Drosophila melanogaster: one gene and its partners. The protein of the gene in region 1 interacts with the protein of each later gene in a pairwise test. Each region holds a gene or a part of one and is shown in the gene's direction. Other genes may lie near its edges.

Region 1 (6,794 bases):
AAAACTCGACAGATCAATTGATAAAAGCCCAGGTTTATTATGGCCAACGTGTCATGACCAAAATCATTACGAAACTCAAGTACACCAATATAGATTTACTGGCCAACTTTGGCGGGATCATAAGTCTGTATATAGGGGCCTCCGTCATGAGTTTTATAGAGCTTTTATTTGTGCTGGGAAAACTGATGTGGGGTTTCATCAGAGATGCGCGCATAAAATTGAAAGAGTATACTAAGTAGCTTACTTTAAAAAATGATGTAAAACTTTGCCGTAAACAAGTATATATAACATTATTTCTGTTTAGTTTCCTGGTCCGTGGGATAGCGTATATAGATAGCCGGATGTGGCACTGTAGCCGGCGTCTCTGGCAGTTGGTCCAAGTAGGAGCAGCCGATGGCCAGGGCGCTGCCATCGGAGCTGAAGTTGAGCGTGGATATGGAGGTATCGTATTCGTGGAACTGACAAAGGCGCTTCTTGTTGAAGCCATCCCAAATGTTCACAATGCCATCGGATCCGCCAGTGGCGAACGTCTGATAGACATTGTGGAAACTCAAGGCATTAACGGGGTAGATCTGTTCGATATTCTGCTCCCTATTCCGGTGGCACTTGAAAGCGAACTTGCGGCGCTGCACCTCAGGATCGTGATCCAGGTACTCCACTGCCACCCGTCCCTCGATGGAGGACATCACGTAGCCTTCTTTGTTGGGGAATAGACGAATGCAGCGGGTCTGGTACTTGAGCGAGGACTCCCGCTTCATGATGTAGCTGTCCATCTTGCGAAGGTCCCAGATGAGCACCTTGCGGTCGGAGGTGGCCACCACGATCTTTTCGTCGATCACGGACATGGAGTACACCTTTCCGTTGTTCTGTTCGAAGGTTCCAACGCAGCGCTTCTCCCGCATGTCCCACAGCTTCACGGTATTGTCCCAGCTACCCGTGAGGATGCCATTGACATACTCGGCGTGCTCCACGCATCTGATGGGCTCCTCGTGGGCACCAATTATGCTTTCCGCCTGGGTGTTGACATCAAAGAGACGCAGCTGGTTGTCCAGGGAGCCACTGACCACGTGCACTATGTCCTGCGGATCGTTGGTTGAATAGGGGATTGTTAATGTGTACGAAGGAGTCTCACCATGAAGGCACAGTCGAGAAGAGGGGCATCCTGCACGAATTTCTGACGCAGCTGGTTTGCCGGCACATCATAGAATCTAAGTGTTCCGTCCCAAGAAGACGCCGCCATGTATTGATTCGATTTGGGGCCGAATTTCACAGCGGAGATCAGGTCCTCCGGCGGATTGTTAAGCTTGAACTCTGGGGGACGCATTTTGTCAAGTTTTCTGCTAGCAACTTGTGGATAATAAAACAATAAATTCAAACAGAAACTGCTTAAAACAAATCAAACTCCGAATTTGCACGGCGTCTGGAGAAGAGATGCGAGTATTTCGATATCACTATCGATACATTGCATATTTGCATCAAGGGGACTCCCTAAACAGGTACACTTTTAATAATGTAAAAAATTTTACAAACCCCTGTTAAACCAATATAAATTTAGTTTTTGTGGTAAGTATCTATCTGATAAATACACCCTCTCATTATGAGCATTGTAAGCTTGCAGTCAGCAGTAACCGATAACCGATATCAAGCGATCGATTTGGCGGCGAATCTGCCCATCTCTATAAGCGACGCCACTCAATTCAGAAGATACAATTATTATTTCGCGGTAAATAGGAGTAATAACCGCCATGGAGGAATCGCACGACTTCCAGTTCGTCCTTCCCCTGAATGCATCTGATCTGATCAACTCCAGCGGAGATCAGTATTACGTGAAGGAGATTTTTGGCGCCCAGGAGATTCCCGCGAAACTACAAGGTAAGTTTCCGTTTTCGCGGTTGGTTTTTAAATTGAGTACAGTTTTCGGACGCGCAATCTTCATGTTTCCTTCCCAGAATGCAAGCGCAAAGTGCACTTGGGCGATCCTTTTTATATATTCGAGCACTTCGACTTGTATTACTCGATCATCGAGGCCCGCGGTTCAGATGGCGCCTCTGCACAGAATCTAATGAGGTCCTTTGACCTGCTCTACCTGACCGTGGAGAAACTGTTCCAAGACTTGCAGCCCCTGCTGACGGCCAGTGAGCCCATGTCTAACCAGCAGCGCAATAGTTACCTCAACCTGACCAAAATGACGCTGTTCCTCCAGGTGAGCACCGTCAAGAAGATCAACAACAGTGTCCAGCAGGCCATGCGGGATCAGCAGCTCAATGTTCAGAAGAAGCGTGCCAAGCCATCGGAGGGATTGGAGCAGTTTCCCAACTGGGAGGTTAAGCGCGGCAAGTTCTTGGTGCAGCTCTTCAACGTGCTGCAGTGCCCGCTGGAGAAGCTCTGGAGTCCGCCCGTAGCCGAGGAGGACTTTATAAAGTAAGAGCAAAGCATTTAGCATCCTATTTCTTCGATCTGCAATGTATCCATCTTCCCCAGTTTGCTCTGCGACCCCTGCTATCGAACAATCGAACTTTTGCCGCTTCGCATGGACAACAAACACGTATTCGACACGATCTTCCAGATCTTGGGCACATCGATCAAGCGCTTTAACCAGGCCATGACCTTCCCGGTGCGCATTCTGCAGATCCTACGCGGTACCGAGCATGCAGCCCATTCAGTAGCAGCTGGAATTTTGCTTCTGCACGAGGAGTACGGAATTTCTTCGGTCTTCTCCATTCTAATCAAGAGCATTGTGGATGCTCTAAGGATGGACAGTTCTGACTCTTCGGTGTCCAAACACTTCTCCAATTTCCTGGCCGAGTTCTCGAACATAGCACCTTCGCTGATCGTACCGCACCTGGAAAAGCTGGCGGAAGATTTACTAGATTGTCAGTCTCACACGCTGCGAAATTGTGTGCTCCAGATCATCGGCGACACCGTGGTTAGCGAACTGACCTCGGAGGATCTTAGCGAAGAACTGAAGGAAGTACGCAATGAGTTCCTCGAGCACCTAATGGCCCACATCCTAGACATTTCTGCACACGTGCGCTCCAAGGTGCTCAGTATCTGGCATCACCTGAAAACCCAGCACGCCATTCCGCTTAACTTCCTGACCAGAGTGCTGGAGGAAGCCATCGGAAGGTTGGAAGACAAGAGCTCGCTGGTGCGGCGTGCCGCCATGCATCTGATCAAATCCGCCCTGGAAAGCAATCCATACAGCAGTAAGCTTTCCATAGATGAACTCCGTGCCAAGCATGAACACGAGGTGCAGGCAATGGAGAAACTTAATGAGGTACTCGAGGAAGAGCGCAAGCAGGAGGAGAAGCTCAACGACGAGTTTAGCAGCTTGGCGCCCGAACTGCTGCCTTTCATAGAGGAGAACCTTACGGAGTGTGAGTTCATGCAGTTCCGCTAGTTCGACGTATATATTAAAGTTTATTGTTATATTACAGTTCCCGATATGCAGTTCGACAAGGAGGAGAGCGACGAGACCTTGATGGAGCGGATCATTCCGCTGATGCGCGAAAAGAACTACAAGGATGTTATTGTTCTAGTGCGAAAGGTAGACTTTTTGGCGGGAAATCAGAATATGAGGTATGTTGCTAATCAAAGATGGTTTTGTTTTACCATAAATATATTTACTTTCCAGTTCCTTACTGAAGCACGAGGAGCATTGCGTGTATGTGCTGGCCTTGCTAAAGACATATCACCTGCTGGCTGCTGGATTTAAACAGAGCGTATGTTTAATCTTAGAAAGTTATATTCCCTTCTAACCAAATCTTTTAATTTAGAGCGAGGAAATGCTGCAGCAAATCAAAACGGTGCAGTTCCTAAAAGACAGCATTGACTTTGCCGTCTTGATGACTTCAGCCTTCCCCAAACTGCACGAGATGCTCATGTCCAAGACAAACACGGATGTTTTTGAGGCGGTGGACTTGTTCACCACCGGGTACATGTTCGGAATTCACGGCACGGAGTCGGGAATGCAGAGAATGCTGCAACTGGTCTGGTCTTCGGACAAGGAGAAACGAGATGCAGTGTCGGATGCCTACAAGCGCGTTCTGTTCTCCACGGACCAAACGGGTCGCGCTCATGCCATTAAGGTGGTGCAGAACCTGTCGAAGTTTCTTTCGGAAATCGAGTATGGTCACTACACGGCCTTGGAGTCGCTGATGACCGAGTGGGTGTTGGGTGGCGACATCGATGCTGCTGTCATCCAGGTGCTCTTTGAGCGCTTCACGCTAAAACTGGAGGGCACTACATCCAACGAATCTCGCCTGTCGCTCCAGCTCCTGATAATGGCCTCGCAATCGAAGTCTAGTATTGTTTCGGCCAACACTGCCATCATCGAGGATATCGCCGTCGGAGAGCGGGTGCGTCGGGATCCACGGATATTTACCTCCTGTCTGCAGCTGCTGGTCAACTCAATCGATGCAAACAACACTGCCAAGTATTATAAGCGTCAGAACAGCGATGCAGAATTCGTGGGAAAGATCACGCGGCTCTTCCTCGACTTCTTTTTCCACAGAAGTCTATACGACTTCGACGCACTGGCCATGAGTGTTTTTGAATACTTCTATAGGATGTGCCAGGCGCCGGATGTGATTGCGCAGCAACTGGTGACGGCTTTACTCAAGCAATTCAATGAGAGCTGGCTGGTCAAGGAAGCGGCTGCAATAGTTCCCTCTCCAGACAAAGCGGATACGGAAACTGTTCCGGACTCGCAGCCCTTGGAGATTCCGCATTCGCAGACCCTTACTCCCACTCAGACTCAAGCTGATAGCCAATCGCAGATGCAAGGCACCTTGATTCCCGTGTATCTCGTCTCCCGCTTAATCTTTTGCATCGGCTACATGACCATCAAGGAGATGATCTTTCTCGACATGGATATCTATAATAACATGAAGTATCGCGACGAGCTGACGGCTCTTGAAGAGCGTAAAAACCGCAATCAGCAGGCGGGAAGTTCACATAATGCGGCCAGACTTACGCTTAATATGTCAGCGATGGAGGTGCGCAAGAGGCTGTCCGGAGTGGCAGCGGAACCACAGCAGGAGCCAGACGACGATCTGGTGGGAGCGACTGCAGAGGACAACATCGCCGAGGAAATCCACGGCATCTGCGAGGACATGCTGCTTTACAACCCGGATGCTCTGCTCTCCAAGCTGGCGCCATTTATCATAGAGATTTGCAAGCGTCCAGGTGAGTTTGGTGATCCCACGTTGCAACAGGCCGCTACTTTGGCTCTGGCCCGGCTCATGACCGTCTCCTCCCGTTTCTGCGAGTCCAACATGAGCTTTTTGATGAACATCCTCAACCTAACGAAGAACATTCGAATCAAGTGCAACACGGTGGTGGGGCTGTCGGATCTCACTTTCCGTTTCCCAAACATCATCGAGCCGTGGACGGGGCACTTCTACGCTCAGCTGCACGAATCGAACACCGAGTTAAGGCTAACTGCCGTCAAAATGCTATCTCATCTGATCCTCAACGAGATGATACGCGTCAAGGGTCAAATCGCCGACATGGCACTTTGCATTGTGGACGGCAACGAGGAGATTCGCAATATCACCAAGCAGTTCTTCAAGGAGATAGCCAACAAGTCGAACATTCTGTACAACGTCCTGCCAGATATCATCTCCCGTTTGGGGGACATAAACCTCAACCTGGATGAGGACAAGTACCGCATTATCATGTCCTATATCCTGGGTCTCATCCAGAAGGATCGCCAGATTGAGACGCTAGTGGAGAAGCTGTGTCTGCGCTTCCCGGTAACGCGGGTGGAGCGTCAATGGCGCGACATCGCCTACTGCCTCGGCCTGCTCACCTACAACGAGCGAGCTGTGAAGAAGCTAATGGACAATATGCAGCACTACAGGGACAAGGTCCAGGTGGACGAGGTTTATCAGTCCTTCAAGCTCATCATTAGCAACACCAACAAGTTGGCCAAGCCGGAGCTCAAAGCTGTAGTCACCGAGTTCGAGAACCGACTGAACGAGTGCCTGCAAGTCAACCCGGATACCGCTGCCCAGGGTGATCAAGAAAGCACTCCAGAAGGTCAGGGCAACAGAACCAGAGCGGCGCCAAGGACAAAGAAGGGTGGTCGCAAGCCGGCGGCCAACAGGAACAATACTGTGCGAGGACGCGGAAGACGTGCTCGCCGGGATTCCACCTCAGAAGAGAGCTTCAGTTCCAGCAGCAGCGACTAGTTCGTGCTCCATCTTAAGTTACGATCTGAGCGGGTTTTTAATGATGTACAAAGATGGTTTTTAATAAAATAGTTAATAGAACCTATTATTGATATATTTATTACTTTGAAGTCAACAAACATCTAGTAAACTACTAAGATCCGTTTCCACATCCATCAGAAAGGGAACAAATATTTGGTTGCACTAAGCTACTGGGATGGGGAAACCAACACACGTAAATGGCAATACTCTAGACGCTTTGGAAGTACTAAGTTTGGTGGTTGCGTTCATGTTGTCTCTGGGCCTCCGACAGATGAGCACTGGGCACTGGCTTCACTTAATTTTCTTGCGAAGGGAGCGCTGGAGGGCAGGACCGTCGTCCGCGGTGCTCAGCGCAATGGCAAACTGGGCGGCGTAGTAGGTGATCATGATCTGGAGGCGGGCGCAGGGCAGGGGCACGCCCACGAACATGGTGACCGCGATCAGGGCGTCGGAGATCACAAACAGAATGGCTCCGATGGCACAGAACACGGCGAGGAAGTTCCTGGAGTCCACGGCGCGGGCCAGCGATCTCCACAGCATTGTGGTGATCAGGAAACAGTAGATGGGCACTCCGATGAT
Region 2 (4,152 bases), on another chromosome or scaffold:
ACTACCGCACCAACCCAAATGGGTGGAAGAGGGGTTCTTTCGGTGGTGGTGCTGCCAAATGGGTTTCACCTGCTGCAAATCGATTGTCTGACTCCTTCTCCGTTGGCCTTCTCTTATCAGCCGGGCTCGGGTGCGTGACTCCCCGTCCGGAGTTGGGTTTTAATTTTGATGACTTCAATTAACTGCGTGTAAATGCGGTGAATCCGCCTTTTCAGCGATCCAAAGTCTACACAGAAAGAAGGGATTATGTAAAAAACAATTGTTTGTTTTATATTTTTTTCGAGTTTTATTATTGTTAAAGTGAAATAGAGTTCATGTAACATGTATAATTGACACTGCACATTATGTGATCTAATCACCATAAACAAATAATTTTCTGTTATTAAAGTCACAGCTGATGACAAAATGAATCAGCTAGTAGATGTTTCATAACAAAAACTAATATTTTGTGGTATCCAAAGGATATTGTGGCTTTTCAGAATGCTCAGAAGGGTTTGTTGAGATATTAATGAAACTTTATTGAAGTTTATTGCTGCTTGTCAGCGCATGTAAACTGGTATACAAAGTAAAGAAAAGCCGGAACCCCTGAGTTGCAGCTTGTGATGGGGTGCCTTTTCCATGGATTGGGGGTCTAGAAGCGAGCCAAGTTGGGTCAAATGCAAAGTGAAGGCACATAATTCAGTTGCTCAACGACAACCGTCGCGTTCAGACGTCAATTTTAGACTACGGAGTGAAGAAGTCACAGGCTTGAAGGGTGAAAAATGTGAAACTACTACGATACACCATCTCAATAAGCCACTATAACTACTTAACAATACCGAATTTAAAATGCCGCGCAAGAAACCGAAGGTCGATACTCTCGAGGAGATCGAGACCAATATTAAACTGCTATGCGATCAATCCAATAACCACATGAAGGTTCGGGCCTACGAGAAGGCTTTGTTTGGATACAACCAGGTGTGTTGGGAAACTTACTAGCCACAGTTAAGACTAGGCAGAATTATTTCCATCAAATAATAAAGTGCAATTGGGAATACCATCTCCGAATTGCACTATAAATAATGTTTGATAAACTTTACACAAAGTGAATCATTTAAATTAGACACAGTTGAGGATATTTGAAACGGGTTTTATCGCATTTAAAAAATATGTAATTAAGATAAAAGTAATCTATGTACTTTTATTTAATTTCATAATTTTCGAAAAGTACATAAAAACGAAGGCGGTGATATTTTATGTGTTTCATTTTCACTTTTAAGCATTTAATGCTTTGTTCGTGAAGAAGGATAATCACTTAGCGGGAAAGGACATCCGCTAAAAGCTCCTGAAAGCTTCGCACAGGTTTTAGTTCACAACAAAGGAGCACAGTTTGACATTCTTAACGTAGTTGAACAAGCACCTGTAGAGTAACACCATATAGAAACACTATAGAAAGGCTTTTTTTATAGCCAAGATTGTTCAAGTGTTTAATGATAAGTTTTAGTTTACATTAAGGTTTTTTTGTTACATTTTTTTATATTACTCATACGACACGTATGCCAATTTATTCCTCTATGCTAGCAAACAAAAAACGTATTGAGAAAAGATACCGTTGATAGTTTTAGTGTTATAAAGGAGCTACTTTAATATGCGTAATTTTAAGGAAATTAAAGTCCCCCTCAAAACATATCAAGAAAGTTACTCATACGCCCCGTAAGCCAGTCATGGTTAACAAAATCCCAACTCGATTCCTTAAGCATTAACCAAAAAATTAGTTTAAAATATGATAATCTCGAGGACCACTGAGAAAAGAGGATAGATCGGAGTGGATATGCATTCTCACCTTCTAATAGGGCGTCCCCAAGGTCGTGACCCACATGGAGGCCATTGTTCTTGGCATTCACACCGCCAAACGACACGACACCTGGTGCCTGACACCTGATATGTAGCACCTGGCACAGCACGAGTGGTTGTTTTGTTATCGATTGCTAACCCATTTGGTGGCGCCAGTTTCCTGGCAACAACCCATTATAGCGCCAATCAATTGGCTAGTGATTTGGTCAGAAGTTGAGTTTTTTGGATTACTCCAATCGTCGGACGTTGAAGATTCTTCCCAGCGATTGCCAAGGGTATTATAAGGATATGTCGAACGTGCTGAACACCATTCTTGCTGTGGACAAGGAGCAGGAACTGCTGCAAAGCTTCATACGCACCGGAGCAGCGGCTGAGGAGGAGTCACAGGATGAGACCAATCGGCGGTCCAAGGGTCGCTCCCACAAGCCTCCCATCTGGGAGAGGCGCGAGTCCACTGATCGGGGCGGACGCGGTGCTGGACGGGATGGAAAGCAGGGGGATGACGGAGGAGCTGGGGGAGGAGCAGGAGGCGACGCTGCGGGCGGCAAGCGGGGCAATCGCATTGAGGCCGAACTTAGGGCGGCACGCAAAAAGATCGAGGAGCAGATCGCCAAGAAGAAGAAGCCCAAGGAGAACTTCGTCGACTTCTACACGGACAAAGATCGGGCGGCAGCGGTCAGCGCTGGTGCATTTGACATCAAGCAGAGTCTCCAGATCAAGCAGAAGCAGGACCGCAACGAGGCACTGCTCATCCCGGACGAGGCGGACATCAGTTCGGTGATCGCACTGGGGCTCAAGGAGATCAAGAATGCCAATCCCGAGAACGCCATACACTTTTTTTGCAAGGTGCTCCTGGTTTCATTATTGGAACTGTTCAGATTTCAGAGTCATCTAGTTAAGCAGGTTTTCTCTTTTTAATAGAATCTATACCGCTGTTAAGTCCCGTTTAGTTTTCTAAGATCTGCCATAACATATTAAAAACTAGCTAACAAAACCTTAAAATTTCAGGCTCTTGAGCTGAATAGCACCGACATCAATGCTTTGATTTCGCGTAGCAAGTGCTACTTGTTGCTGGGCGAGGCTTCCAAGGCACTGCAGGATGCGGAGACGGCTCTTGGAGAGGACAAGAACAACATTCGGGCCATCTACCAGAAGGCTGAGTCGCTGTACTACCTCGGTCAGTTCGAGCAGAGCCTGATGTTCTTCCATCGCGGTCTGAGGGCTCGTCCGGAACTGGCTTTGTTTCGCCTGGGCGTTCAGAAAACGCAGGAGGCCATCGAGAACACCATCGGCAGCAAGCCGGGTCCACCAGGACCAACAGCATCTGTTCCCAAGAGCGGAAAGTCACGGAAGTCCGGCGAGGATACACCTAAATCCCAGGCAGCGGGAGCAACGGGGACCAGTGCCAGGACGCGGCAGAAACCCAGTCGAGCGGATCTGGAACGACGCAACGCCCGCAAGCTGCTGGGCGAACTGTGCGTGGACAAGGAGTACTTGGAGAAGTTGCTGCTCCATCCGGATTTGGTCCGCGCGGACACACACACGGAGAGCATCTCCGCGTACGCCCGCGAGGCGGTGGAGTTTCTCAACAAACGGCAGGAGTTCTGGCGCCAACAGCGTCCCTGCACGGCGCTGCCCAACCATAAGAACCTGCCCCATGACGCTCTGCCCAAATGGTTCTAGTCCATCCAGCTGCCCAATACTACTGACTTGTTCAGCTCCCGGTGTTAAGTTTCTGTTTGAATTGAGTTGGCTTGATAAGCTGGTATTGAATAAATAAATCAATTAATTACGAAAACTCTCAGGTAATTTTACTTGACTCTTGTATTGAGTTTTATTAACTTCCAATGCATTTTGCGAATATTCACTTGGAGCAGCGACTACGACGGTCCAACTTTTTTATTTTGTAGTATGCTACTTGGTTAATCTTAGGCGTAACTTCAACTTTTGAACAGAGCAATTGGAATTTCTCAATTACATTGATATATATTTGTAGTCAACTGAAACAGAAATCCGGATGTAGCCTCAAATTGACGGAATACAACGATAGTTTAACAATGTGGAATAATATGTAATTTATCTCAATAGTTGTTCAATAACAATGGATACATGTGTTTGGGTGTGTCGCTCGAATCGGAATCTTTTACAGAGTTCTATTGCTTCTTCAGTTTTTATAACTTTACTTCATAATTTGACTAGTACGGCTATAATTTATTTAAACATTACATTTATGCAGATTAGTGTAATACTTTGTCGCCCATATACTTCATTATATTCATTCTTCGCCCTCGGCAAATCCGGTGCAATTGGGTTGAGTAC
Region 3 (6,418 bases), on another chromosome or scaffold:
ATCATGGCCAAAGAAAAATGCCGAAAATGAAATGACGCTAAAAGTATCGCAATAAAAACGCATTAAAATGCCTCACCAGGGAGTAAATAATTTCTGTTGCTCCAATCGCAGACATCGATTTGACTTTGTCGTCATGTACAGGGTAAGAAACGCTTTCCAAGATCAAGGACGAAATGTGATTATAAACCCAGAGGTATAATTAAAAAGTTTTTTATCTCAGAAATGTCAAAAAATTGTATATGCGAGGTTAAAGGTATCTTAAAATATGCTACGAGTATAGCACTATTTGAAACATCTTTTCAAGTGCTTTCAACATAAAGATGCAATAGTTTTGCAATGCATCAGTTATTGAAATGCAATAAGTTCGTATTTTTTTTTAAGTGTCCCTCGTAGTCGAATGTATTGAAATACAATCGATGCTGAACAATTAGGCGCCGATTCGGAGGGACTATAGTCTGTAGTCTGGGAATAATATTTTTATGGCCAGTGGCGCGCATAAATCCCGTCCAGCCGGCGTGTAATTCAAAATGGACAGAGGAACGTGCGACGGGAACTTGGTAATTCCCGGCAGGATATCGACTGGTTGCATAATTTATCGTCCTGCTTGATTTGAGTGCATAAAGTCGCTGCCCAACGCCTTGGCCTCAAACTCTCAAGTTTGCTCCTCAAAATCTGCTCAATGAGCCGAAGATGCAGAGCATTTTGTAAGGCGATGCGCTTTTAATGTGTTTATTGACTTGGCTTGGCCAACGGGTTGGCTCGATGATGGGCGGGAGATTAGGCCAATCCATCAAATGCTATAAAGTTAATTAAACAAGATGCTGCCGAAGGAGTCGAGAAATTGGGTCAAGCTGCATGCACCTTGCGCTTGCTAAATGCATTTTGCATATTTATTGCAGTAAAAATTGAAATAAATTCCAACTACGATTGAATGGCATAGTGAAGTGTGCTTGTCAATTATAAGTGTTAATACATATATTTGTAGATATGTTTGTGTGTGTGTGCTGTAATCCTTTTCCCCGAGCAGTAATTGCATATGAAACATGCATTTTCACTTAAAATGGCATGAAACTAATCTCCTTTTGCAGGAAGTGGGCGGGTATGCATACTATATTAAATAGTATTTTGCGAACTGTTGTTCTCGAAGGACGCTGTCTGGCTTTCAGCAAAATCTACTTTATTCGAACAACAGTGCAAAAAACTCAATAATACTCCATTGAATGCGTATATTAAAAATGCAGCAGAAACTTAATTAAATTTCCCAACTGAGTGAGTGGCTAGAAACACGTACAATCAGAGCCATTCGGCCACACAAACTTCAATTGCAAATTACAGAAGCCGCAAACAAAGACAATAGAAATTTTAATAATTCCAGAACATACAGCTTGAATGAAATTAATTAAGAATATAGTCGATTGTGAGTTCTGAAAGAATCAATCGGATTTAATGATTTAATAACAAGTTACTTTAAAGGCCGAAAAACTGCTGGTGCAAATGTATCAATTTTTTTAGCCTTTTAGCAGTTTTTTCGTCATTTTACCATCAATACTCACATAAAAAACCTAATTTTCGAAACATAAGCTCGAAATAGAGTTGACAAATATGTCTAAATATTTTAAGTACCCGTTAACAACGAACATATAGACTATATATTTAGGAATGTGTGATAAAACTAAAAGTTAAGAAAACATATTTGACGAAAATTGCCGGAATCTATGTGCCATTTCGTTGCTTGTTAAGTAAGTCGACCTGATTGGCCGTCTAAAAATCAAAATAGCTGGCTTTTGATGTTTCGCTTCTACAAGTTGTACTCGTTGTACATGAACAACATGACCAGTAGTGGAGTTGCATGGCCGCGGGAGTGGTGCCTGTGCGGAAAACTGCCGCGGGCGGTGCTCCACATCCCGGTGAACCATCGTCTGATCTGCCAGGTGTGCGGATTGGCCAGGCGCCCCCAGGCTGGACTCGATTCCTCCAGCGATAAGGATGCAGATCAGAGCACCGAGGAGCAGAAGACGATTATACCAGAGCCCAGCCACGTGGAGGAGCCCAAAAAAAGCCAAAAGACTCGGGTAAAGGTAACCATTAGGGGCAAGAAGCCGAAAGCCAAGAATTGTTGCCGGACAAATTGCCACAAGTGTGGTGGCTTGGCCAAAGCTGAAGTTGGCCAGGAAAGTACTGAAGCACCCAAAGAGATGAAGTGCAAACGGTACCCGGGGCGTCATGGCTTGCACTCGAAACCGAAGGGAATGATGAGTCGTCGACAGCTGGCGCCCAAAGCACCGCCACCTTCGACGCCGTCGTCATCTCCAACGCTATCGCCATTGCCTTCATCACCGCCATCGCCCACAGCACCACCACCACCACCACCACCTCCGCGTCAAGAATTGGAATCACCACGTTCGGAGATGCCAAGCCTGGTGGCCATGGCCCATAACGTTTTTAATCCAAAAAACAGCCCGCTACAGAACTACAACAATCTATTTGTCAGTAACTTTATACCCTTACAAAGTCCCATTACGGATACCTTCGGGGGAGCTATATCCAAGAGGAGCAGGAACAGCATTCGTCCACCACGCAGCCACAGGAGTCGCCCGCTGCCACCACTTTCCAAAGTCTTAACCAACATCTTGAGCAGCCAGAACTCGACGGATGACAGAGAGATGGGTGGTGGATTGAGTAGCTCCAATTGTAAGGACTCGCAATCGACCGATTCCGAGCTGGCTAGCCAGTTTTGTCCATTTGATCACTATGAAGGTCCATCCGAAGATGCTCTTGTCGTGAATAACGCTCGTTATATGCTTCATCGACCGAAATCACTGCACATCGAACCACGACAGGATTTGCGCAACAATCGCATTGAATCGTTGAACTTTCAGTTGAGCTCTACTAAGGACACAAAGAGTCCAATCGCTGACAATCTATCAGGCATCCTATTCATGGCGGATTCAGTTCGTAAAAATCTTAAGAAAACCATTGATAACATTGGAAACGAATGCCATATTTCAGGTAAAACCAGCCCAGCCAAGAACTTGGCCTCCAAACCGGCAGTTACTCAGCAGAACAATCGGGAAAATAAACCGGAAGCGTTGGAAGACTTCGAAAGATCTTCCATTTTAACCTCAATCATGGACAAAGTTTTCAGCTCACAGGAATCGAAAAGCTCAAATGGAAACTGCGATGATGACAAGATACCAGAATTGGAGGATATTAATAAGCCGATCAACGACATGTTCGTCGAGGACCCTGAATCGGTTTCTTTGAAAAGTAATGTATCAAATGAGCACAGTGTATTTTCTTCAAATAAAACAAACAACTATAATGATTATTCCAAGCCCGTTTCAAAAACACTAAGCATAAGCAATTCCATTTGGGAACGATTTTGTGATAACAAACCCAAATCGACATTATATAAGTGTGCTCGCTGCGGACAACAAAAGCATCGTGAAGATATAGTTGCTAAAATTAAAATAAAAGATAGTAGAATTCCAAAAAAATCCGATGCGAATCAAATATGGCTAAATAAAAAAATAGGATGCGCCATAAAGCAAAAGCTCAATAGCTTAAGATCCTTTTCTGGAGCACAGGAATGTAAAAAACACGAACACGAAGGGCAGAAATCCCTAAAACTAGCAGATCAAGGAGTAATTCCCGAGATTTTTAGAGAAACCCTACGTATGCAAAAACAAAAAGCTACGAATGACAAACCAAAAGAGGAAAATTTAAGACTGCAATCCATAAATACAAACATTCAAAGGAAAGCACAACGAATTTATCAGGATGATTCTTCGGAATCACAGACTCCAATAAAAGATCATAGCACTTCAAAATGTTTAAATCTACAAGAAAAAATAGATCATATCCCACCGAGGGATAACAATCCAGCCAAAGTAAATGATCAATCAAAGATCACTCCTTCCAAGATACACCACGAATGTCTTCAAAAACGACCCAGAATCGCACTTAAAGTTGTGAATTTAAACCAATCTCAAATATCGGATAATAACTTTCAATTACGTAGACATAAGGAGCCATCGTTCAACTGGGGAGTGATACAATTCTGCGAGACTGTATCTCATAGGAGTCTAGTTATCCCCAAAATACTGGTTCCTACTTATGTTGGTGAGTTGGTGAATATCGGTCAAGCCACGAAATGCTATATCAAGGAGAATATTCTTCCGGATGATCCGCCTTCGTCTCTCTTTGAGTTTCGCATCCCTGACATTAGTCCCAACGAGCTGCTATCCTATCGAAGTTCGGATAACATTAGCGGAAGCTGTACTCCAATACCTCATATAGCGAGTCCAAAGGAGCAACCTATAAACCACAAAGACCCGTGTCATTCTGTTGATCCATCTCCGCCAGAAAAATTCGAAAGTCGTAGCACTCTATACGAAAATCTTGAATTGTCGTTCACCACACGAAAAGCAGATAGTTTTAACCATCCCAATGACAAATTACCTGATTATGAAAATCAAAAGAGTAACAAATGCATGAAGGCAAACGAGAACAGAAAGTCCAAGTCCACAGAATTAACAGATGCTAATTTTAGCTCCTTAAGTGACAACAATATGAGCTATAAGATAGAATTAGATGGTTTAAGAAAAGAAGAGAACCCAATAAAAGAATTCAGTTTAAAGACTGACATTACGGCAGTTAGTAATACATTTACGAGATCTAAAGAAAATACAGAAAATTCAAATGATACATTTTTCCAGGAGAGCCGCATTACGTTACAAAAGTACAATCACTCAAAATTGAGCAATGCGATTAAAAAACAAATAGACAAATCCTTGCAACAGAAGATTAAAAAAATTATGACTAAACCGATAAAGTTGCTAAAATCGACTGATTCAGATTCAGTTGAAAAATTTGTGGAGCCATTTACAAACAAATTGAGCGCCTTCGATGAATATAATGCAAACTCTACACAAGAAAACTTAGAACTTGAACCAAATGTCATTTTGAATGAAGAAGAGGATATATCTCTTTCAAATTCCTTCACGGAATTAAGTTCAAGTCAAAAGCCATTACGTCTTATAGCCAACCTGCACTCCTCAAGTGACTCCGAACCAAAGTGTCTAATTGAAGAATCTAAGGTAGAAACTGATTCTGATGGAGCATCGGAACCGATGCTGACCTGTCGAACCACCGAGTATGCAGGATTGCCTCCTCTGAACTGGCAAGTAATCACAATGGGCTCAGCTCATCCAAAAAATATTATGCAGGATGATTTGGAGTCATCTCTGGTAGAAGAGTATTACTGTCCCATTCACATGTGCGGAAGCCTTATAAAGTCGAACACATTTTCTTCGCATATCCTGCAAGATCATCGAGTTTGGAAAACCAAAGATGCTCCACCGCAGGAAGATTACCATCAAGTAGTGGAAGGTTTACCAAAGCAGTTCTGCTTCGATGGCGATCTCCTCACGAAAGGAAACACTTTTGTGGCCCTTCTCTTGTACACCAGCTTAGCGAAGGAAAGGTTAGCTACTGAAAACAAAAATGATATATCTATTTACTAATTCTAACCCTTAGATCACATCCAATGCGGAATCATCCGCTGACCTTGCTAGCTGCTCCAAAAATGGCAAAGGATGATGCATTAGCCGGTGTTTTCTTCTGGCTGGTCGGTTGTCCATCGCGTGCCAAACTTCTTGCCAAGCTCACAGTCTACGATCCATTCGATCAAATTGGACGGAGTATGATCATAAGACCACGTGATTTATCTGAGAACCAAGATCCTCAAGAATTTGTAGTCAATTCGAAAGATCATTTGCTTATCAGCGTTCCACATAAGCAAAGGACTTTTCAAATAACTGTGGTCATAGATGAACCGCAAACTTAGTTATAAAGGATATCTATTTACTTAAAACTAAAATCTATAGACGTAAATTTTCATTTTTAATCCCTTTGATACCACGAGTTTAATTTTAAAGACAAATTGTATGTTGTATATTTTTTAATAAAACGTTCGAGCAAGAACTAAAAAACGCTCAAATATCTCTCACATCAGATCAGAATTGCCTAGCTTTATTTATATAATAGTTAATTGCGTGTTACACTACTAATTTCATTAAGTTGTTAGTTTGCTTTAATTACATGTAGAGTAAATATTCATGCACATAGAAACGTATGCGCTCACATCTACGTACGTACTCGCTATGATTATTATCAATTGCAATCGTTTCTTGCACCTGCCTAGTGCGTTCCACTGTATACATTTACAAACATAGGAATACAAATAGGTAAAATATAGGTAGTTTGTTTAACGGCTTAAGAACTTTTGCGAAAAAAAGATGTCCAACTGCATGGTGCATAACCAAATGTCTTTGTCTCACATAATATTCCGTTTAAAAATATTGTGTTTCATATGCAAGCCTACATCCAACAATAAAAAATATTGCAAAACCTCAAA

Evidence for each region. Proteins that work in one complex are often made in the same cells at the same time.
Region 2: the proteins of Cap-D2 (region 1) and CG13502 interact in a two-hybrid assay, tested with the Drosophila melanogaster proteins (one large-scale study listed by BioGRID).
Region 3: the proteins of Cap-D2 (region 1) and CG13131 interact in a two-hybrid assay, tested with the Drosophila melanogaster proteins (one large-scale study listed by BioGRID).

The regions. Positions count from the first base shown.
Region 1 is NT_033777.3:29,673,985-29,680,778, forward strand, and holds Cap-D2 (CAP-D2 condensin subunit), read left to right. Parts: upstream 1-1,666; 5' UTR 1,667-1,745; coding exon 1,746-1,872; intron 1,873-1,949; coding exon 1,950-2,421; intron 2,422-2,481; coding exon 2,482-3,377; intron 3,378-3,437; coding exon 3,438-3,579; intron 3,580-3,634; coding exon 3,635-3,722; intron 3,723-3,776; coding exon 3,777-6,194; 3' UTR 6,195-6,273; downstream 6,274-6,794. Other genes in the region: ppk19 (pickpocket 19), read left to right, coding at 1-239; Bub3, read right to left, coding at 291-1,079, 1,133-1,324; CG7582 (uncharacterized protein), read right to left, coding at 6,507-6,794.
Region 2 is NT_033778.4:22,085,256-22,089,407, reverse strand, and holds CG13502 (uncharacterized protein), read left to right. Parts: upstream 1-1,986; 5' UTR 1,987-2,121; coding exon 2,122-2,679; intron 2,680-2,841; coding exon 2,842-3,516; 3' UTR 3,517-3,626; downstream 3,627-4,152.
Region 3 is NT_033779.5:10,012,701-10,019,118, reverse strand, and holds CG13131 (uncharacterized protein), read left to right. Parts: upstream 1-1,655; 5' UTR 1,656-1,787; coding exon 1,788-2,955; intron 2,956-3,009; coding exon 3,010-5,485; intron 5,486-5,538; coding exon 5,539-5,848; 3' UTR 5,849-5,892; downstream 5,893-6,418.